3 linked regions of the Saccharomyces cerevisiae S288C genome follow. The gene in region 2 interacts genetically with the main gene of each other region. Each region holds a gene or a part of one and is shown on either strand. Other genes may lie near its edges.

The links. Genes that interact genetically often act in the same process or in processes that back each other up.
Region 1: of RPL43B (region 2) and MPT5, a mutation in one rescues a mutant of the other (synthetic rescue), as found in Saccharomyces cerevisiae (one study listed by BioGRID).
Region 3: mutations in RPL43B (region 2) and TMA20 together harm fitness more than expected from each alone (negative genetic interaction), as found in Saccharomyces cerevisiae (2 studies listed by BioGRID).

Annotation. Positions count from the first base shown.
Region 1 is NC_001139.9:165,772-173,592, reverse strand, and holds MPT5 (Mpt5p), read right to left. Parts: upstream 6,242-7,821; coding exon 6,239-6,241; intron 5,599-6,238; coding exon 3,022-5,598; downstream 1-3,021. Other genes in the region: ssDNA endodeoxyribonuclease SAE2, read left to right, coding at 1-308; YGL176C (uncharacterized protein), read left to right, coding at 514-2,178. UniProt on the Saccharomyces cerevisiae protein: RNA-binding protein involved in post-transcriptional regulation. Negatively regulates expression of HO by binding to the 3'-UTR of HO mRNA. Predominantly binds to mRNAs encoding chromatin modifiers and spindle pole body components.
Region 2 is NC_001142.9:603,681-611,460, forward strand, and holds RPL43B (60S ribosomal protein eL43 RPL43B), read left to right. Parts: upstream 1-4,624; coding exon 4,625-4,626; intron 4,627-4,901; coding exon 4,902-5,178; downstream 5,179-7,780. Other genes in the region: cleavage polyadenylation factor subunit FIP1, read right to left, coding at 1-523; transcription factor IME1, read right to left, coding at 889-1,971; SFC1 (Sfc1p), read left to right, coding at 6,093-7,061; YJR096W (aldo-keto reductase superfamily protein), read left to right, coding at 7,515-7,780.
Region 3 is NC_001137.3:163,216-168,811, reverse strand, and holds TMA20 (translation machinery-associated protein 20), read left to right. Parts: upstream 1-1,926; coding exon 1,927-1,937; intron 1,938-2,040; coding exon 2,041-2,575; downstream 2,576-5,596. Other genes in the region: GTP-Rho binding exocyst subunit SEC3, read left to right, coding at 1-1,004; PAC2 (Pac2p), read right to left, coding at 2,729-4,285; RNA-binding GTPase NUG1, read right to left, coding at 4,527-5,596. UniProt on the Saccharomyces cerevisiae protein: Involved in translation.

The DNA.
Region 1 (7,821 bases), on a different chromosome or scaffold from region 2:
CAGTAGTTATAGAATCGCAAAATTCGGACTACGAATTTGCGTTTGATAACTTGAGGAATAGATCAAAATCCCCCCCAGGTTTTGGAAGACTGGATTTTCCCTCCACTCAGGAAGGGAACGAGGACAAAAAGAAATCCCAGGAAATCATCAGAAGAAAGACAAAATATAGGTTTTTAATGGCAAGCAATAACAAGATCCCACCGTACGAGAGAGAATATGTATTCAAAAGAGAACAATTAAATCAAATTGTTGACGATGGATGTTTCTTCTGGAGTGATAAATTATTGCAGATATATGCTAGATGTTAAACGCCAGCGATCATCATTCTTTATTCATTACTTCAAATACATTTTTTTTGGTATGGTTGAAAGGGCTTTTTTCCTCGTTGGCATATGGGAAAAACTGAAAAATAAAAAAAGGCAATGAGATGAACAACAATGGAAAACAAAAAAGGGCGAATAAATAAGCAGCAGTTGGTAAAGCAGAAAGGGGAAGTTAACGGACGTTAAACAAATGACACCTAACTTACCAGGGTTTTATTATGATAGAGAACGTCGACGTTATTTTCGCATATCTGAAAATCAAAGCATTTCTACCACGGGAACGACGAACCAGTACAGAAAAGATAATATAAAGCGACAATGTGTTGAGGAAAATTACGATAAAAAATTTTCTATGATTAAAAAAAAACGTCAGCAAACATTACAAAAGTACAAGCTTAGTCTTCTGAATCCGTTGGAAAGGGCTTTTCGCCCTTTATCATATGAAAAGTACATGATTGGTTTAAATATGCAGTATGCATCGCATTCTCTCACTGAAGGTCATCACTCACATAGTTCTGCTAACGTAAAATCACTCAATTTTCCACACAGGATACAGATAGGAGTATTAGCAAATTGTATTTTATTGGTAACTCAAGAAGGATGTTTTCATAGTAAATTAGTATTTGCAACAAACAAGGGCTATGTCGCAGGATTTTCATCCCTGGATAATTTTTCTGAAGAAAATTTCTTTACGGGGTTTTCCATGGCTGAATTAAATCCTATGTTGAAATATAAGTCCGAGCCAACTGATGTGTTCAAAACAATGAAACTTGAGAGAACAGTTGCCATCAAGGAAGGGCCGAGCCATTATTTTTATCACAACGTTAATACCAGATCTAACGTGCATACTTTTGCCATCTTTTTACAAGACTTTTCTTCCTTAAAACTGCTCAAAATTCGTCAGGTCAAACTCAAAGAAAATTGCCAAGTCCATGATTCTCTTGTTGTTGGAGACACGTTGATTATTACCGTAAATTATCGTTGTCATTTTTATGATTTGATTCCAGAAACCTTTCCAAATCCCTATATCTTTTCTCCTGCCAAAAGCTCAAGAAAACACAAAAGTAGGAGTGACATTACTTCCCTATCATTTTGTCTACAAGAAGATGCTTTATCACCTTTAAAAAAAACGAACACCGGTGTGTTTTATTTAGGTTACAGAAATGGTGATTCAATGGCAATAGTCTTCACTAATATTACAAACATGACATTACAGTACTCCAAGACCAACGGTATGACATCAGAAAGTCGAAATCAACCTATCAGAAATTCCCTAAAATCTGTTGTTTCCATAAAAGCATTGAATAATAAAGGCCTAATACTTATATCTGGAATGGCAGACAAAGAGAATGTGCAACAACTGGTTATAGCAGATACGTTCCTGGAGGACATTCTGACCGAAATCCCGGTTGTATCTTTTAAAACTAAGTTCTTAAACGTGACTAAGGATACAGAAATACTCGAGATATCGGATGACGGGCGCTACTTCATTTATGGTTCAACTAGCGCTAGGGACGGAAAGGGTGATTTTGAAGTATTTTGTACCACTTTATCTGGAAATCTTGACTACGAAAAATCCGAAGGTGGAAATATCACCCTCTATCCAATAGGAGGTATGAAGAACTACTGTAGGTTAGAAAACTTCCAGTTTGAATCTATCCACCTACATTCGGCTTTCATACCCCCAAGGTACGTAAATCCGTTTGATGCTGTGGAACCTCTAGGTGAAGAGAGCAGTACTTCACCTTACGATATACCTGAAGAAGCACTTTCTCAAAAAATATGCATCTTAATTCGGAGAGAAGATGATCCCTACAATGGGGCCAATATCTTCATAACATCTGCTTTGACCTAGTTTAGCCCACCGAGATTTTTGCTTTATAAATATTTTAGCATACTTTGCATTCATATACATATTCATATGTATAAATATTCTTTAAATTTTAACGCCGACTTCGAACTAATTAGCAGTCAAAACCCAAATGTAATGACCTTATGGTGTTATAGCATAATTCTTCTTGGTGTACAATTCCATTCTGAATAGTTCAACGATTTTAGATATAGTTAGATATGATATTATAATAAAATATACAAATATGTATCATTGTTAGTACAAGTTAAACCTAAATATAATAAAGCCAACCAAGACAGGAACCAGTAGAAAAATTTATACAAATGACAAAGAAAAACAAACGGTATTTTCCTATTTATTAAAAATGCTTGAGCGAATGGATATTTTAACACATTAGTGTCCTAAAGGACAATTGGATTTGAAAATAAAATGACAGTAATAGACAAAAAGAAAACTGAATGAATGAATGGACGTATGGATTGCTTAATGAATGAATGAATTAAATAATAGTTGGGCGTAAGTTCAGAAGATGAGGAATTTAAAACAAAAATAATCGTTGACAAAAAACGATTCAAAAAAAAATTAGATCATTTTGGTAGGGAGCAATGCTAACCCTGCAAAGGCAGTGGGAGGATTTTGGATACGTGTTCGGAAACAGAATACAAAATATAAAGATGGCAATAGTTTGCTTTACCATTTTTTTCCGGCTCAAATTTTGGGACTTTAGTAGGACGTCATTGCTTAGTTGAATTTTTTATTTTTTATTTTTTATTTTTCTTTTGTCTTTGATTTCTGCGTAAAATATTTGTACAGTAAGAAGGAAAGAAAAAGAAAGAAAAAAAAGTATTATGGCAAAGTGAATTGAAGTTCATCAGATGTTCTAGCGGTATTCATGGCAGGCATATTGGAAATACTAGCGTTGCGGCTCATATTAACTTGATTATATGGGCCTTGACCAATATGCTGCGACTTCATTGACAAACTTGAATCCCAGTTTGCACCTTCCGTTTGATATTGCATACGAGGCACAAAAGATTCATTGAAGTTTTGACTATTTGCATTAGAGTATGGCGAGAAGTGATTAGCATTAATTTTGTCGGTTTCATTCATCATAAATCCAGGCTGCTTAAATCCCCTTGAAACATTAGGATTCACATTGGTAATGTTAGATGATGAGAACGAATGGATTGGTGCAGCAGAATTAGGATGTGCCATTAAATTTGCAAACTGGCGGTTGTCGAAGTTTTGTAACGAGTTATGGCTTACCAATGGTGGGTTAGTTTGAGAATTGAAAGAAGGTGCTCCCATCGAGGGATATGCGTTTTGGTTGAAGTTCATAATTTGTTGCGGAGAGTGAATTTTCTGATCTTGTGCATATTGGTTTGAGAAATTATTGGTTACAGAGCTGTTACTTCTTCTATGGTAAGCATTAGCTGGTAAAGAAAAATGACGGGTATGACTCTTTTGATTATTATTGTTATTATTATTGTGAGCATGGTTATGATTATGATTATGATTATGATTATGACTATTTTTGTTATGGGGGTTCTTATTTTCGTTGTTAATCGTTTGAAGATTGTTATGACTCATTGCAGTGACTTGAGGAGATATGTCAGTGAATGGTATACCTGTGGCTTCTGCATAAGCTTTAACTTTCAACTTAATTTTCTTTGCATAGGATGTAGTTTTAATACTTGGAAGTAATTCTTTTGTAAGGACAATCAAGTTACCAATTTTCAATGAAAAATCGTTACAAAAGTTACCGTAATTCAATGTACTAGAGCTGTTTTGCCCAATTGCGTTACTATTTTTGTTGTAAGCAAGCAGAGGAGAATAATTCTTAACGTCTAATAGCGTTTGTAACGCATAATTACCAAAATTATCCCTGATTAGCACATTTAAATTGACTGTGAATATATCAATGGTAGTCAAAAGAATGTTCATAGAAGCATTAATCACGTCATCAGAAGCAACTGCAGTCCTTTGGGAGGCACCCCCATTGTTATTAACAATAAATCCAGTAATGATTCTAAATAATTTTTTAATGAATTTTTCCACAACATTTGAGGAGAACTTCAAACAAGATAGTTGACATAATTCATTGGATAAACGGTTAAATAACTCAGCCAATAAGTAAAAGTCCAATTCTTTGATATCTAACAGAAATTGGATGATATAATTACCGAACTGATCGTTGATTAATCCAGGAAGGAACTGCACAATTTTCACAGAAATTTTGAAAATTTGTTGTAGAGTACAAACGCTTAGTAATTTTTGTAGTACGCAACAACCATGTTTATGGGTAGAAATGGTAATGATATTATTTTGTTCTACAATAGCATCTATGATGAAACCAAATTTTGATGGCGAGAATTTGAAAATACACTTTTGAATCACATGGTTACCATTAAGATCGTTTATCAAAGTAACCACTTGCTCAATCGAAGTAAATTCTTGGGAAAATCCCTTAATAATGAGATCGATTTGAACTTCGTTATCGACAGTGTCTATAATTTTCTGTAAGGAACGAGTTCCGTACTGATTGATTGATATTTGGAAAACATTTGGATATATTGTTTGTATTAATAATGTCTTTTGCTCGGCAGTTAAATAATCGCATAGTTTTTGAACCAAATAGTTACCGAACGGATCCAAAATAAGGTCCAAGAAAAATGGCTTAATTTGTTCATACATCAAGTCTCTCACCATATTGGATTCACTGGGGGTTTCTAATTTTTTTTGAAGAAAACGGCAGCCAAACTGGTCAGTGGCAAGTTTGATATAATCCAGATCTCTAAGGGGTAGTGCGCTGATTTCGACCATAGATGAAGACGTTGAGCTACTCAAACCAAATGACGAATTATCCACTCCACATTTGGAAGCAGCATTATTACTATTGCTAAAATTTCTGAGAGATGCAGCAGGAGTCACTGAAGAGGATGGTGTTTCCATAATTAAACTGGAGGTATTGACACCAGAGTTCGAAGGAGCAACAACCGTGAAATCGTGGCTTGATTTTCTCCTGGGACCATCCATTTCCAGATCAAACTCATTGATTAATGGTAGAATGGCTGGAGGATTTGCCATTGAGGCTGAAAGCCCAGTGGAGTTGCTAGCAGCATTAGGATTCGGGGAAAAAGAGTTAGCAGAATTCGATGTTGATGTATTATTCATCAAAGCCAAGGGAGATTGTGTCGATGATATGAACTGATTAAAACCAGAGAGATCAAGCGAATGAGCCTTTTGATGGTTTCTTTTGTTATTCATCTGGCCCAAAGGCGGAGGGGTCACGGGCTCCAAGAGTGATTGGACGGAGTTAATAGATAGTTGAGGCTGATGATTGTAAGACATTAAGGAGTTATTTGATGTAGACGTAGTTAAAATCGATGCTGAGTCGGCAGATGGAAATGGTTCGTTATTGATCTGATTGAATAAAAGAATGTTGTGTTAGTAAAGTGAAACCACAAAAATAAGGCGTGTGCAGAGCCGATTTTGGAGTATAAGCCTAGGATCAATTTCGATAACTGAGAAAGAGAACAATCACAACCATGTACAGTGTCCAGGTGGCCTGAGATGCGTGAGAATCAAGAGTAAATCTATCTATAAAGTTCGACTTCAATGGCGACAGAGGATGGCAAAAAAAGAGGACAGGAAAAGAGGAAGACAAAACACAAAATTTATGCTTGATTTTAGAATGAAACCTATAACCATAAAGAGTAAAATCCTTATAACTCTCAACGAATCTGCATAAATTTTTCATAGATCTTCGAATCTTTTCTTTTTTTTTTTTTTTTTGCTCATTTTTGCCTGAGGCGCCTCTTTCCCGAAGCCCTTCTTTCGAGAAAATCCTTATAGGCATATTCGAGAAATAAGGTAGGGTCAAGTATCAGAAATTCCATACGACATAAACGGAGATTGTTAGACCGCTAAAAAAGGCGTGTCGATAGGCTGATCCCACTGAAGCTGGTTTTTGGTTATTATGCTATTTGTTGTTAGAAGATCCCGTTAAAGCTTATGCTCCATTGGCGAAGAAAAATATTGGGAATTAAGAGATAATACATACCATAAGAGAAACTGGAAAAATCGTAATTGATTTATAAATTTGCGTAGAATTCGCTTTACTATGTGTTGGAGAGGAGTTGAGGAGGTTTTTTTTTTTTTTTTTTTGGTTTTTTAGCTTTTATCTTAAGGAATAGTAAAAGTGGCGGTTGTAGTAGCAGGCTTTTGCTGATCCGTAGTCCAAATCTAGTAATTTCAAGGCGCTTGACTTCTTGATGTTATTACCTTTCTTTTATTACTTAACTTGCCAATCAATGATGTGTCAATGATCTTCTCGGGGCTAGCAGATCTGTTCTTTTTTACCTGTTCTCTTTTTGTGTGAAAAGATAAAGTAAATTATGAAATAGGCTGATCTTGATGTTGACTCAACAGTACCCAAGGTTTTGAAATGTGAATTGTGTTCAGTATATTCAATGTTTCAGATATATATTGAAAGGAAACCACCTATTATGCTTTTTAGGCCTCTATGTAAGAAAATCTATACGTTTAACACAGATGCGAACCAGGAAAGAAGAAGAGTTCTTGTAGGCCACGTTTAAGAATGGCAAGAGAGAAAAAAAGAATGATCACAAGAAAACTGATTTCAGAATTGTAATATCGGACGGCAATACTAGTGTAATCTGAACCACAAGGTTAGTCTTAGCTGGGTAAAACACCTGGCGAAAGAAGAAAAAAAATAAGGAATCTGGATGATTATAAACTTTTTTAAATTACCCTTCTTTTATACATGAAAAGGGCATACAGCATACATAAACGGTAAAGAAAAAGAGGCAATCGTCAGTATTAATTGGCTCTAAGCTAGTCCAGGAAATAACCGCGTATAAATCCAAACCGTACTTCAGAACATTCAGATCTTTCTAGCTACTTGAAAGCGCGTACCATTTCCCCAACCTTAATATGTATATTTTATCACTCACTATGCAGTACTAGGCCGCTTCTTTCTATTGCTTTTCAGATTGCCAGATGCAATATATCCCGCTTCGGAATTATTAAAAATTTAGGGGTTGGCCAGATGTTTAGAACCTCGCTTTCCAGTTAATTGCTTTAGGAAAAGAAAGGCCAATATTGTTGTCATTTTTGTATTTTTTGCGCGGTACTGACCTTTTACTGCGGCGTTTCGCGTTTTTTTGGCATTTCGCGTTTCAGTGCGGCCCCCCCTCCCCAAAAAAATGGCGTATATTTTTAGTTAGTTTCTTCATCGTTCGATGCCTAAGCCGAGAATTTCAGAAGGCTTCTAAGGGCCAGAGTAAAGAGATCCATTGAGCCCCCACCCAGTTGGCAGCGGATGCCGAAGGGCGGAAGGAAGGGGCGTGTATAGGCTTCTTTACGAGAGCAAAAGACATTACAACGTACAAGGGACATTCCGTTCCCTTGTACGTCATGTTAATGAGCAAGAAACCGCTCACCGGCAATGGTTGGTGGTAGTGGTAGTATGGACTCTTTGGGTGATGAAAAGTAATCAGAACATTCTGCAATTTCTTTACATTTCCAATACTTGCTCCATTTAATCCTTTCCTTAGGTGGCGATAGCCCACGCGAAAGACGACCTAGGGTCAGGAGATTATCAATGCACTTGAGGCTTTAACT
Region 2 (7,780 bases):
CACTATCAAAGATTCCCTCTTTATCCAGGTCTATAGAACCAGTCATTGCTTTCGGTACATTTCCATCGCTCTCTGTAGCTTTTACGGTCGTTGCCGTTACACCTTGATTTGCTTCTCCTTCTGTTATTAGTCTTTCATCTGATGTCTTTGTGATGGTATTGGATACATCTGTAGCTACGCTAATTACGTCTTTGCTTGAAGATGTCGCTGCGGTAGAATAAGAATCGAGTAGTTTTGCATCTAACCTAGTAGGGTCAGGACCCAGACTTATGATAACCTCTAGGTCAGAATCACTATCGTCATCTGAGGAGTCAGAGTAGATATCTTCATCAGAACGATCATCTCTGGCAGTAGCTGGAGTTTCTTCCACGGGAGAGTCGAATTTTTGCCTTTTAACTATATCAGGATTACTGGACGCACCTGCGTCTGCTTCATCATCTCTTGATCGTTTAGATGAAGGTAGTGCTAATTCGGAGTCGGAACCATACAAGAACTTGTCGTCTTCGTCTTCACTGGAGCTCATTTAGAGAAATGCTAATAATTTTAGTGTAGGCAAAAGGAATAAGAATGCAAAGCACGATGGTGCGGTTTAACAAAGTGAATTTGGTGATGTACTCTCTCAAGATTTATGTCGCATTATTCGCTACGAAGGTTTTTCAAGATTAAAACGAATCTCCTTTCCCATCGCGACATACGATAAGGCTAATAACGCTACGGTATTATGTCATGGAGCTTGAGACATTGAATACATATATATACCTATATATAATATATATATATGCAAATACACAAATTCTTAGCAATTTGAGTGAGACAATGGAAATAAAGAAATGAGTGTGAATGGATATATTTTGAGGGAAGGGGGAAGATTGTAGTACTTTTCGAGAATTAAGAATAGGTTTTACTAAACTTGTAGGATATTTCTTGAAACCTGACCTTGTCATAATAATCTTGATCATTAGAACTGCTGAAGGAGTAAGCCGCAGCATATCTTGACAGTTTGGAGTTCAACTTTTTTAGGAATTCTAACTCTTTTGAATTTAATTTTTGTAGTGATGGCGGTGGTGATTTTTCAACGTCGAAGGCAATTTCTAATGGGTAATAGTAGGAGGGCACCTGAGGTTCATCTATAAATGGATCTGCCTCATATACATTATCGGAGGCGTTGTTATTATTGCTGGTATTATTATAGTAATTACAATTAGTGCTTTTATGGTTGCTATAGTGACGATTATTAAAGGAATGTATGTTATCAGTATGTGGTGGAAACTGATCTTGATATTGGGAGTATGAATCCGTGTTTTTTGAATTTATTGATTCATGAATATTTGTGGGTTTTGAATAGGTATAATTAGTGGTATATGGGTAGAAGTCTTGTGTGTATGGGAATTCATTGAATTCAAAATTTTCTTGGAATATTTTGATATCTTTTTGTGCATTTGTATTAGTTTCATATTTTATTGTGTCACTAATATCGATATCATCTCCATTTCTGTTGCTCTTTTGAAAGTTATCATGGTTATTGAATGATGAGTGGAACGTAGATGCGGATTCATCATTAGAAAAAAGAGATGATAATGAAGAGGATCTGGTACTTTCAGAGCTCTTTTTTCCTCTTTCAGGACCAGTTGCCATTGTGCAGTCCTTCGTAGTTTTCGTTTCCTTGGAAATAGGCTGAGAATCAATATTTTCCAAATTCAGAAACTCTTCATTGAACAATATTTGAGGATTAATTAAATGAATTGGTTGTGTATGAACCAAGTTCTGCAGCTGAGATGAGGCAATTTTGTCAGACTTTTCAAAATGCCAACTTCTAGGGGAAATTGTAGATCCAAAAGAAAAACAAGGACGGTCTTCTTGATCGGTGGTTGTGTCATAATAAATGTTAGGTTGTTGTTGCTGTTCAAAAGGAAAGAGGAAGAAACCATCTTCTAAGGCAGCGTGAAGTTTTCCATGCATATCCGCTTGCATTTTGTTTGTGGGGAGAGGAATAGAAAAGCTTTTCTTTTATTATTTTTTTCCTTTTTCACCAGTAATGGGTGCCAGTAGGAATTTGTTTCTCTGTAGGTGACTAATGACAGTAGTATATTATGCTTTTAATCTTTAACAATACTACTGGTCGATTTATAATATGATAATGTAAAATAAATCGTAATAGGATAGTCGATGTTTGTATCTACTTCACGAAACAGTTATGGTATACGGTAGTTTAAATATCTGAAGAAGCAAAAATACCGAACTACAAGGGAAGCATTTTGAGAAAAATATTAAGATCAAAAGATAATTAATTTACCTTAAATACATAAAAGAGGAAAAGTAATATACAAGGTAAACAACAGGCAAGGAACAAGATCAAAAACGTCCGACCCCAATTTAGTAGTAAATTACAGTAAGAGAAAAAGGTATTGGGGCTGATACATATTAATTGTGCGTTGTTGTTGTTGTTTAATTTTAGATTGGCTATTATGAGTACACACAAAACGTTGTAAACGCAATCACCCATGGATAAGCGCTCCCTTTAAAATGCACTACGAAATCATTGATCTACTAACTTTAAACCGGACTTAAACCATCAAAGGGTGCTCTAGATCTCATCGATGTATTCTGATGCAGCCAAAATTGCGCAATCAATCACGTTTCCCGATATAGAAAACTAATTGGCTGTGTTACGTGGCTGGGGGTTCTGTAATTCCTTTCTTCCCCGGTGAATCATCAAGATTGGGCTAAGCGCCTTTGATCCTTTCCCTCGAAGACGGAAATGGGGCCGCAGGATAAAAAATGGTGTGTCTGTAATTCCGATTTTTTGCTTATGTAATCATGTAACTTTCTTCTAGTCCCTTTGCAGACATGCATGACACTTCCTTACCCGAATAGTGAGTTAGATCTGTGTTAGGATGCAGGATGGGCAGTTCAAAGGCTTTTCTTATCGTATCTTTACCTTTTCCTGTAACTAAGAAGGTTTTTGAGTGCATGTAAAGGCACATAAATGAAACTTTAATTCCCTGCGTATTTAAGACCCAAGAAGCCACCATGACGCTTCCTTGATGTTGTATCTACCCCCAATCCTGGCGCCCCCTCCTGCGGGCACGCATGCGCCTTTGATCCTTCCCCTCGAAGACGAAAAGTAAACAAAGATACGCACTTTTTTTCTCCAACGCAGTATTGAAGGTACCATCACATGCTTACTCACTTTGCGGCTGCTATAACACCGTGGCAGTGTAACGTTTTACCGTTTGTCCTTTGCTACCGCATTTTAAAGTGGTACAAGATGTTGAGAGAAAAGATTTCCTGCAGCCATGATTAGGAGAGGTAATAGCGGATGACATCAACGAATAAGCTTTATCCAGCGGCTTGTATAGTTCTGTGTACACAATTACTGCCGGGCTCTCTGAGCATTTGCGTTTCTCGGGCTAGCTTCATTACTTAGTAACTTCAAATTAATGAAATATTTAATTATCATGATTCCAAACAAAACTACTTTAATTTCAATCACATTTTTGTTATCTGCCTGAAACGATAGCTGTACGGGTACGTTCTTGATAAATAAAACTCAGTGTTTAAAACTCTCTTTTTACATCTGTTCGCCGATGATTGCTTGCTCGGAGGTACTAGTCATCGGAATTGAGGAAATTCCTTTTCTCCTTTGTTTTCTCTTTATCCCCGCGTAAATACGCGGAATGCCAATAATCAAGTACACATTCTTTCTCCAAGTTGGCCAAAAAATAGTTCAAATTCTTTAAACTAAGCGCTATTAATTATTATTAATTATATAAGTTTGAAAATATCAATGCAGGACCCTATTTCTTCACGAGGGTGTATCCAGAAACGGTTTCTTATATAGTGTTGGCGCTCACTTTTTTCCTACCCACGTCTATATATGCAACGCCTACTTGTTTTAATCAACATCACAATTTTATGCTTTTGAGGTACAGCAGTTAGCCGTACGTTTTCGGCAGTCGCTAAAAATGTAAGCGCGGCATTTACTGCCATTTAGTGGACTTCTTGAGGTTCTTTTGACATCCGCATTCTTGCAGCAAATACACCCCCACCCTTCTTTTATTGAGAATATCTACTGAACCTCCGTGAGGGAATACATTAATCAAATTACTCCAACACCATACGGGCCGTGGCGGAAAGAACAGCATGATATAGATAATATATGATATGAATTGATTTTTTTTTCTTTTTTTCTTGCGGCTGGTATGGTATTGTAAGGATGATAGTGCATTCTATGAGTGATTTTTGTGACGGTGACGTACGATCTCTATACCTTTTTAGCCGCCCATCTTCTGCCTTTCATTTTTATGCCAACCCTCCATCCATACATCCTTTTTAACCCATACATATCATTTAGATTATTGTTTTTTAATTTTTTTTTTATCAGATGTTGTTCATCGCGAAATTTATAATCTTTCGATTGAATCGCACTTGTCGTGCATAATGATAAATACCTTCCGGAGAGAAAACTCAGACCCACTGGGAAGTTCCTACCTGCCGAGTAAGACCAGCTTGAAAAATTTGAAATTTCAACTGAGAATCAGAATATATTACTGCCCTTCGTGTTGTAGGGTTATTCATTAACTATATACGATATTATAAACAGCATAGATAATCAAACAAAAAAATGTATGCATATAATAGAGGAATTGGATGACTAAATGTTCTTATATTGGAGTTAGTGGAGATGCGTGGTAGATTTGAATTAAATAGAAAGTGCTGGGGTTGATAAACCACGAAATATCGCAGTTGAGGAGAATGATAAGCCAGGATAGATGGTAGCGCATTTTTGGGGCAATCTCACTGTAGGTCCACCACAACTCAATATGACTACATCGAATCAGTTATAAGGCAAGTTTTTAGTTTACTAACAAATATTTCCATCTTATTTTTTTTTTTTGCAGGGCTAAGAGAACAAAGAAGGTCGGTATCACAGGTAAATACGGTGTCCGTTATGGTTCATCATTGAGAAGACAAGTTAAGAAGCTTGAAATTCAACAACATGCCAGATATGACTGTTCCTTCTGTGGTAAGAAGACTGTTAAGAGAGGTGCAGCTGGTATTTGGACTTGTTCCTGTTGTAAGAAGACCGTTGCCGGTGGTGCTTATACTGTTTCTACTGCAGCTGCCGCTACTGTTAGATCTACCATCAGAAGATTAAGAGAAATGGTTGAAGCTTAAACTTCTTTCATTCATTTTCTCTTGGCTTTCACTAGGTATATCTATTCCATAACGACTATGTTTTGTATTTGTTAATTTACATAAAACCATATCAGTACATCAACGAACTGTAAAAAAGAAACTTTAGCATAATTATTGCGGATATTTAAACTCACTTGCAGGTAAGAGCAAAAGGCGATTGATTTCCAGTCCGCCTCTTGTCACGTGATTTAGTAAGAAATTTTGACAGCACCCTCGGTTTAATGGAAAAGAGGGGCGTTTTTCGATGAACCCGAGGGGAGACTAGAGAATCATCTCGGTTGAATGGAGCATTATTTTTTTAGTAGCGCCCGCCCGGAGAAATGGACGTTGGCGAATGAGCCATGAATTATTAACCGCCCATGTCTACCAGATACCACATCGTATGACAGTACCAGCCTAGTCCCGGTAAACCGCAAACGGACCTTAATTGTGACGAAGGGCCCAAATTTGATGGGTCGGTGTTAATGATTAGTCCTCATTGTCATAATAAAGTGTGATGATGGAGGCAATGATGATATACGGTAGTACTACTGCTCGAGGTGCTATCTTTTAACCAATCCTTTGAGATTCTTGTCGCCACGGAGTTACTACCTTTTACAAACCGTAATGTCACATTTTGCATATATCTTATGTATAAATATATAGTTCACTTACTACTTGTTCTCGTTTTGTTAACTTTCTTGTTGTAGTTCTTCTTGTTCTTGGCGTTTCCCCCTTTGTTTTCTATCTGCTTCATAAGTAAAGTGCAAAGCATTTTGGAAGATATTATCAATTGAGTCATTGAAAGAAACTTGGCATCTTCCCTATTACTAAAACTAAGAATACTTGATTCAAGAAAGAAGTTTATATTAGTTTTAGCCGTAAGATAACATAACAAAGAAGAAGAAAGAAAAATGTCTCAAAAAAAGAAGGCTTCCCATCCAGCCATCAATCTCATGGCTGGCGGCACAGCAGGTTTATTTGAAGCATTGTGTTGTCATCCTTTAGATACAATTAAGGTGAGAATGCAAATATACAGACGGGTAGCTGGTATTGAACATGTTAAACCCCCAGGATTTATTAAAACTGGGCGTACCATTTATCAAAAAGAAGGTTTCTTGGCTCTGTATAAAGGTCTAGGTGCTGTGGTCATCGGTATTATACCTAAGATGGCAATCCGTTTCTCGTCTTATGAATTCTATAGAACCTTATTGGTTAACAAGGAATCAGGAATTGTGTCTACCGGTAATACTTTTGTTGCTGGTGTTGGGGCTGGTATCACCGAAGCTGTTCTTGTCGTGAACCCGATGGAAGTTGTAAAGATTAGGTTACAAGCTCAGCATTTAACTCCGAGTGAGCCAAATGCTGGTCCTAAATATAACAACGCCATTCATGCAGCCTACACTATTGTCAAAGAAGAAGGTGTTTCTGCCTTATATAGAGGCGTTTCCTTAACTGCGGCAAGGCAAGCAACTAATCAGGGTGCTAACTTCACAGTTTATTCTAAACTGAAGGAGTTTTTGCAGAATTACCATCAGATGGATGTCCTACCTTCATGGGAAACTTCTTGCATAGGTTTGATTTCGGGTGCTATTGGGCCGTTTTCCAACGCTCCATTGGATACTATAAAGACAAGGCTGCAAAAGGATAAGTCCATCTCATTGGAAAAACAGTCCGGTATGAAGAAAATCATAACCATTGGTGCTCAACTACTGAAAGAAGAAGGTTTTAGAGCTTTGTACAAGGGTATTACCCCAAGAGTGATGAGGGTGGCTCCAGGTCAGGCTGTCACCTTTACCGTTTATGAATATGTAAGGGAGCATTTAGAAAATTTGGGTATATTCAAGAAGAATGACACACCAAAGCCAAAGCCATTAAAGTAGATGATGAACAATGGGACTACAAAATGAAATAAAGAAAAAATAGAAATAGGCTAGAAGATCAATTATTAATCGCCCTATTCTTCCTTATTACCTACACAAAATAAAGCAGCAACATAAGAAACAAAAACAAAATGAAAACAAACCAAATAAATCTATGTAAGCATACTCATTTCAATTTGATATTCATTACTTGACTTTTTTGTCCTTATTTGAGGCTCCATAAGCGCGCCATTTTTCCCTACTCCCTTTTTTCGTAAATAGTAATAATGTGCTGAAAAGAACAATGAAGTAGTTATCATACATATTCCGTCGTGTCGATATGAGGGGAGGTGTCTCTTTCTTTCATCCCTTGTCGCAACCTCCAATATATAAGAGCATAAGCAACTGATCTTACTTTAGTAATTAACTTAGCATACCTAGCCCGAAGGAAGAAAAAAAATTCACCTCAACAACATGGTTCCTAAGTTTTACAAACTTTCAAACGGCTTCAAAATCCCAAGCATTGCTTTGGGAACCTACGATATTCCAAGATCGCAAACAGCCGAAATTGTGTATGAAGGTGTCAAGTGCGGCTACCGTCATTTCGATACTGCTGTTCTTTATGGTAATGAGAAGGAAGTTGGCGATGGTATCATTAAATGGTTGAACGAAGATCCAGGGAACCATAAACGTGAGGAAATCTTCTACACTACTAAATTATGGAATTCGCAAAACGGATA
Region 3 (5,596 bases), on a different chromosome or scaffold from region 2:
GGCTGTCCTCATATTTTGTAGAATTAGTGAAAGCCGAACCAACGGTAGCCCCAGCCTTAACTTTTTACTTGGAGAATGAAATTAAAAGCTTAGAATCATCCAACCATGAATTTTTATTGTCTGCAGTGACTAGAATGTACACACAAATAAAACAAGTGTGGTCTGATAATGTAGAAGAGCAGGTTTTGCACTTCGAAAGAATTTCTAACGCAACCACCAATGGAGAAATTCTTCCAGGTATACTTGATTTACCAGTAGGCTTGAAGAATTCAGAAGATTTGTTCCAATTTGCTAAGAGGTCTATGGATATTAAAGATACCGATGAAGGCTACGAGTCCATCGAATTAATGAATTCGAGCTTCAGGAAGCTAAGCATAGCTGCCACACGATCGATAACTCACAAAGAAGTTAATTCAAGCATTAATCCAAACCTTTCAGATACTGCTGCTTTAAATAATGACTATATGGAAACTATTTCTCTCCTAGTGAACAGTAACTGGCTAACTGAAATGCTTTCCATGTTAAACTTCAATAAGGATGGTATATTTGATACGTCATTGCAAAACGTTAAGAAAGTTTTCGATGTGGAAAAAGAATCTTATGCTTCCTTTCTACTCCGCGATACTATGCCTAAACTAACAGCCTTTGTTTATGGTGTGAGCAACATCATTGAAAATACCAACAATGTGAACATGACCAATCCTTCAAGATGGGCCGCATATAGCAGGCAGAACCTAGAGAACATTCTTTTAGCATACACTTCCCATGAAATTGAAACTCTAGTAAAAAGGCTGCACACTCATATGGTAAATGACTTCGGTTACCACCAAGAAAATGCCATAAACAACGTCCTATGCGATAAGTTGTGGTCGTGCATTCAAGGTCAAACCGTCTCACTATACTTGAAACTATACACTGTAATTGATAAACACTATAGAGGGACAAACATACGCTTCACGAAGAACGATATCATAAGTGCGTTCGAGGAATACAAGAATGCCTAAGTAACCTCTGCATTGTCGCTTCATATTACATATTTAGACTAATTAAGTAAATATTTTGATAAATTTCAATTTCAAATATCGTGTAAAATGATATATTAGTTTTCGAATTTTTTTTTCTGAATATAAAAGGAACAGAATATTAGTTAGCTTCATTGTCCAATTACTATTGTTACTTACGTTTAATGCATTTTCTTTTCTTTCACTTCCTTCCTTAATACTCCATCCTTATGCACGGGAAATACGCATATCAGTGAGGATTCGTCCGAGATTGTGTTTTTGCTGGTTGAAATTTAATTATAAACCAGACCGTCTCCTCATGGTCAATTCGGTGTTCGCTTTTGAATACTTCAAGACTATGTAGGGAATTTTTGGAATACCTTTTTTCATTACCGATATTCATTCTTTCAAAGGGACTGTTTATTTTTCTTTGGAAGTAATATCAAAAAATAGGTTAGGGATACCGGACTGAAACATTCAATTGAGGGCCCAACCATATTTTTCTTTTCTTTTTCACCGAATTCTCTAATGTGAGTTCACGTTATAGAAGCTGGAATTGTAAGTAATACAGAAATGGCAACTAAAATGGTAGGCATGAGTGTTCTCCTTCTTGTGTGTCTTTCTTTTCACCCGATACAGTAAACTTTGTATAGGAGAGTTGACCAATTACCTGACAGTGCCGTCTATAAACGAGACCTCAACTTCACCTCAAAAACCATAATTTTATCTATTGATAATTATCATTATGGTCATTTTCCACTAAATTCATAGTTACCTTACTCTTATGCTTTGTATTTGTAGGTGTAAAAATGACGAAAAATTTAATTATCTGAAAAATTATTGTGTGAAAAAACTTGATTTTGCTATAACCTTATGTAAAACCATATAAAAGACAAAGACGGTAAACTAAAACAGCAGAGAGGAAATGTTTAAGAAGTATGTCTAACATGAGAATGAATATTGCGTAATTCACTGGTTTTACCAGGGGTTAGTGTACACTTTTGACTCAGTAAGCAATTACTAACATCATCATCGATAGATTCACAAGAGAAGATGTCCATTCACGTTCAAAGGTCAAATCTTCAATTCAAAGAACGTTAAAGGCCAAATTGGTCAAGCAGTACCCCAAAATAGAAGATGTTATTGATGAATTAATTCCTAAGAAGAGTCAAATCGAGTTGATTAAATGTGAAGATAAGATCCAATTGTATTCCGTCGATGGTGAAGTTCTTTTTTTTCAAAAATTCGATGAACTGATTCCAAGCCTGAAATTAGTACACAAATTTCCAGAGGCTTATCCCACTGTTCAGGTTGATAGAGGTGCTATTAAATTCGTTCTCTCAGGTGCTAATATCATGTGCCCTGGCCTAACTTCTGCGGGTGCCGACTTACCACCTGCTCCTGGTTACGAGAAAGGTACGATTGTAGTCATCAATGCCGAAAATAAAGAGAATGCATTGGCTATTGGTGAATTGATGATGGGTACTGAAGAAATTAAATCAGTGAACAAAGGTCATTCCATAGAATTGATTCACCATTTGGGCGACCCCTTATGGAACTTCAGCGTTGAGTAACAAACGGAGCCGTCAACACTATATTACTATCCATCTGCTACATAATAAAATAAAGAAACTAAGAAAAAATTAGAATAACATCCGCTTACAATCTAAAAGGCTGTTTCCTGATTTTTAAATATGCAACTAGCCAAGATTAACTATATACTGTGATTACGATGGGCTGTTAACCTTCTGAATGCTCTTGTTATTTACTGGAGACGAAACATGAATAATATCTCCGTTCACAACATTAAAATCTGAAATGGGGCGAAAATTATACTTTATTTCGTTTATCATCCCTTCAGAATTTTCATGAAATAACTTAACATTCAGTATGTCAAAGTTTAGCTTTCGACATATTACACTCTTAACGTACCTTACTGTAAAACTGGGAAGGACCCAATAATCTAAATCACTACTCGGCTTCTTGCCAGCTCTTATCTTTATTTTTAAGACAAGAGATTGCCGTGTTTCTCTTTCATTGTTGAAACTTAGCTTACTCATATCGATTTCATACGACTTTATGAGGCTTGACCAACGCGGCAGATTGGTGTCATAGCTCAATTCGTTATTCATTACCTTGGAAACAAAAAACATCTCAGCCTCTCTTCTTGTTTTTACATCACATATTGATCCATTCAATACCATCACACGATCAAACCTAGCCAGTACTTCATAAAAAGTAGCCTGTTCTTCGACGTTAATATAATTTCCGTTGTAGTTGAATTCGTTGCCACTCAGATGGATATTTTTCAAAGAGGGAAATGTCTTATTCAAATCATCTATCAAACTTCTTTCCTTAAATTTGTTATCTGTTATATCCAAGGATTCAACAGAATAAATAGCAATACTTGGTGCTCTAGAAATTTGATTATTGGAGACATTTAAACCTTTCAATGTCAAATTTTTTGGAAACAATGGAAACGATATAAGATTATTTCCGCTAATATTCAGTTCCTCCAAAGTACACGGTATTTCATTCTCAAAATTTTGGATTCCCGCACTGGTCAAGTTGTTATAGCTTAAATCCAACATTTTCAGTGTCCTGAAGCTTTTGAGCAGCTTACCAATATGTTTATAACTTAAACCACAGGAAGACAGACGTAAAGTTTTGATGTGTGATAGGTCATATTCTTTCAAGTTGTCCCAACCGCTTAAAAGTTTATTTTGAGATATATTAAGGCTCTCCAAGTTCTTCAAAGGTTCTATGAACTCACATAAAGAGTTGATATTCGTGAATAGATTAAGCGATAAATCAAGGTCCTTGACGTTCACACAATTTTGTATTACACGGTTTAACTCATCTTGATTTTGAAACAATATAGCGACATCGGAATCTCGCAAAGCTATTTTTCTTAACTTCTTATAATTCTTATTTCTCGCATTTAGTTCATCGAATCCCAAACCCTCAACCCTTTTGTTACCTATAGATAGGTCATTAATGTTATTACTCGAGCCTCCATACTTTTCTGACAATGCTTCGTAAAACGTAATTCTGCGTACACCTGGAGATTTAATCTTAGACTCCTTCAAAAATGATCCTGAATTAGGAATTTGAACGTCAAAATAGTGTATGTCATCTATTGTTCCAGAATGTTTTCCCCGGCTGTGATCGTCCCATTCCACCCCATAAGCTTTTACCGAAGGCCACGGCTTAATAACACCTATGAATTTGATGGTGCAAAAATATCCACCAATCTTGAGTCTGTCCCCAATTTCATAAGTCATGCTATCTCTGAAATTCGTTTTGCATTTTATATTTTGTATATCTTATATATGAAACATAATAAAAGTTGGAACTTTTTAATGATTTCTTTGTCCAAAGAGCAAAAAGGCAGTAAAACTAAAAAAAATAAGATGTATAGTAATGAGTTTAAAAGCACACCTATAATTTACAGTAATGTTATTTGATGATAAAGAAAAAATAAGAAACACCCCTTACATAAAAATAGCCTTACATATGACTTATTTATTCCATCATTGTATCTTGATCTTTGCTAGCATCTATGGCCTTGTCAAGAGAGCTAAATAATCCATCCAAATCAAATTCTTTGGACCACTCGGATACAATGGTGGATTCATTTGCTGCAATTGGAGCTTGTTTAGTGCCAGTGTTTATAGTACTTAGATTTTGTTTATCTTGTTGAGATGCAGCTGCCGATGTATTTGGTAAAACCCAACCAAGAATTTTACCATCCCTCCAGTCATTAAGTACCGAAAGACCAGCACTGGCAAGATTTGGAATACCGCCTTTCCCTAATCTACCTCTTTTACGAGCGACGTGAATTAAGAAATGTTTTGTAAACGTATCTGCATCATTAGCAGGAATAGGAGGAATTTCATACAGCTTTTTAAAGCTCTCTGTCATTTCATCTGATTTAGCTAGTCTCTTTACCAACATTAAGACAGCTGGATACGGATCAACAATGTGTTTTGCCGGTAGAGCATTTAGAAGAGCTAATTCAGCTTCATGTTCAACTTTCGATCTTTTCTTATTTTCGCTTGGGAAACATATACCAGGAGAATCTAGAATCTTCAACTTGTTGTCGATTTTGATCTCTCTCAGAGAGGTAGTAACACCTGCTTCATTACCGACTGGGCAAGCCTTTGATTGACCTCCACGGCGCGCCAAAAGAGCGTTGATAACAGATGATTTACCAACATTTGGATAACCGATAACACCCACTACAATAGATCTCTTCAAATTGCTGTTATTAGAGTAAGTTTTCAGCGACTCTAGCAGTGCACTTGCAGTAGTGGTTTGGCTTAGCTTTCTGTTGAAAGAAGTTCCGTTGACTGCACCAGAAGAAGCTCTTAATGGGATTGTAGGAAAACTAGACTTTAAGTAATTTAACCATTGTTCCAATACATGTGGGGGAATTAAATCAACTTTGTTCAGTATTAAAATCAGCCTTTTACCCTGACTTTGTAAGACGGCTTCTTCCACCTTTCTTGATCTTGTACTCTCTGGATCTCTGGCATCCAAAACATATAGGATGACATCAGAAGCATCAATAACGGATTTGAAAATCTTGTCAT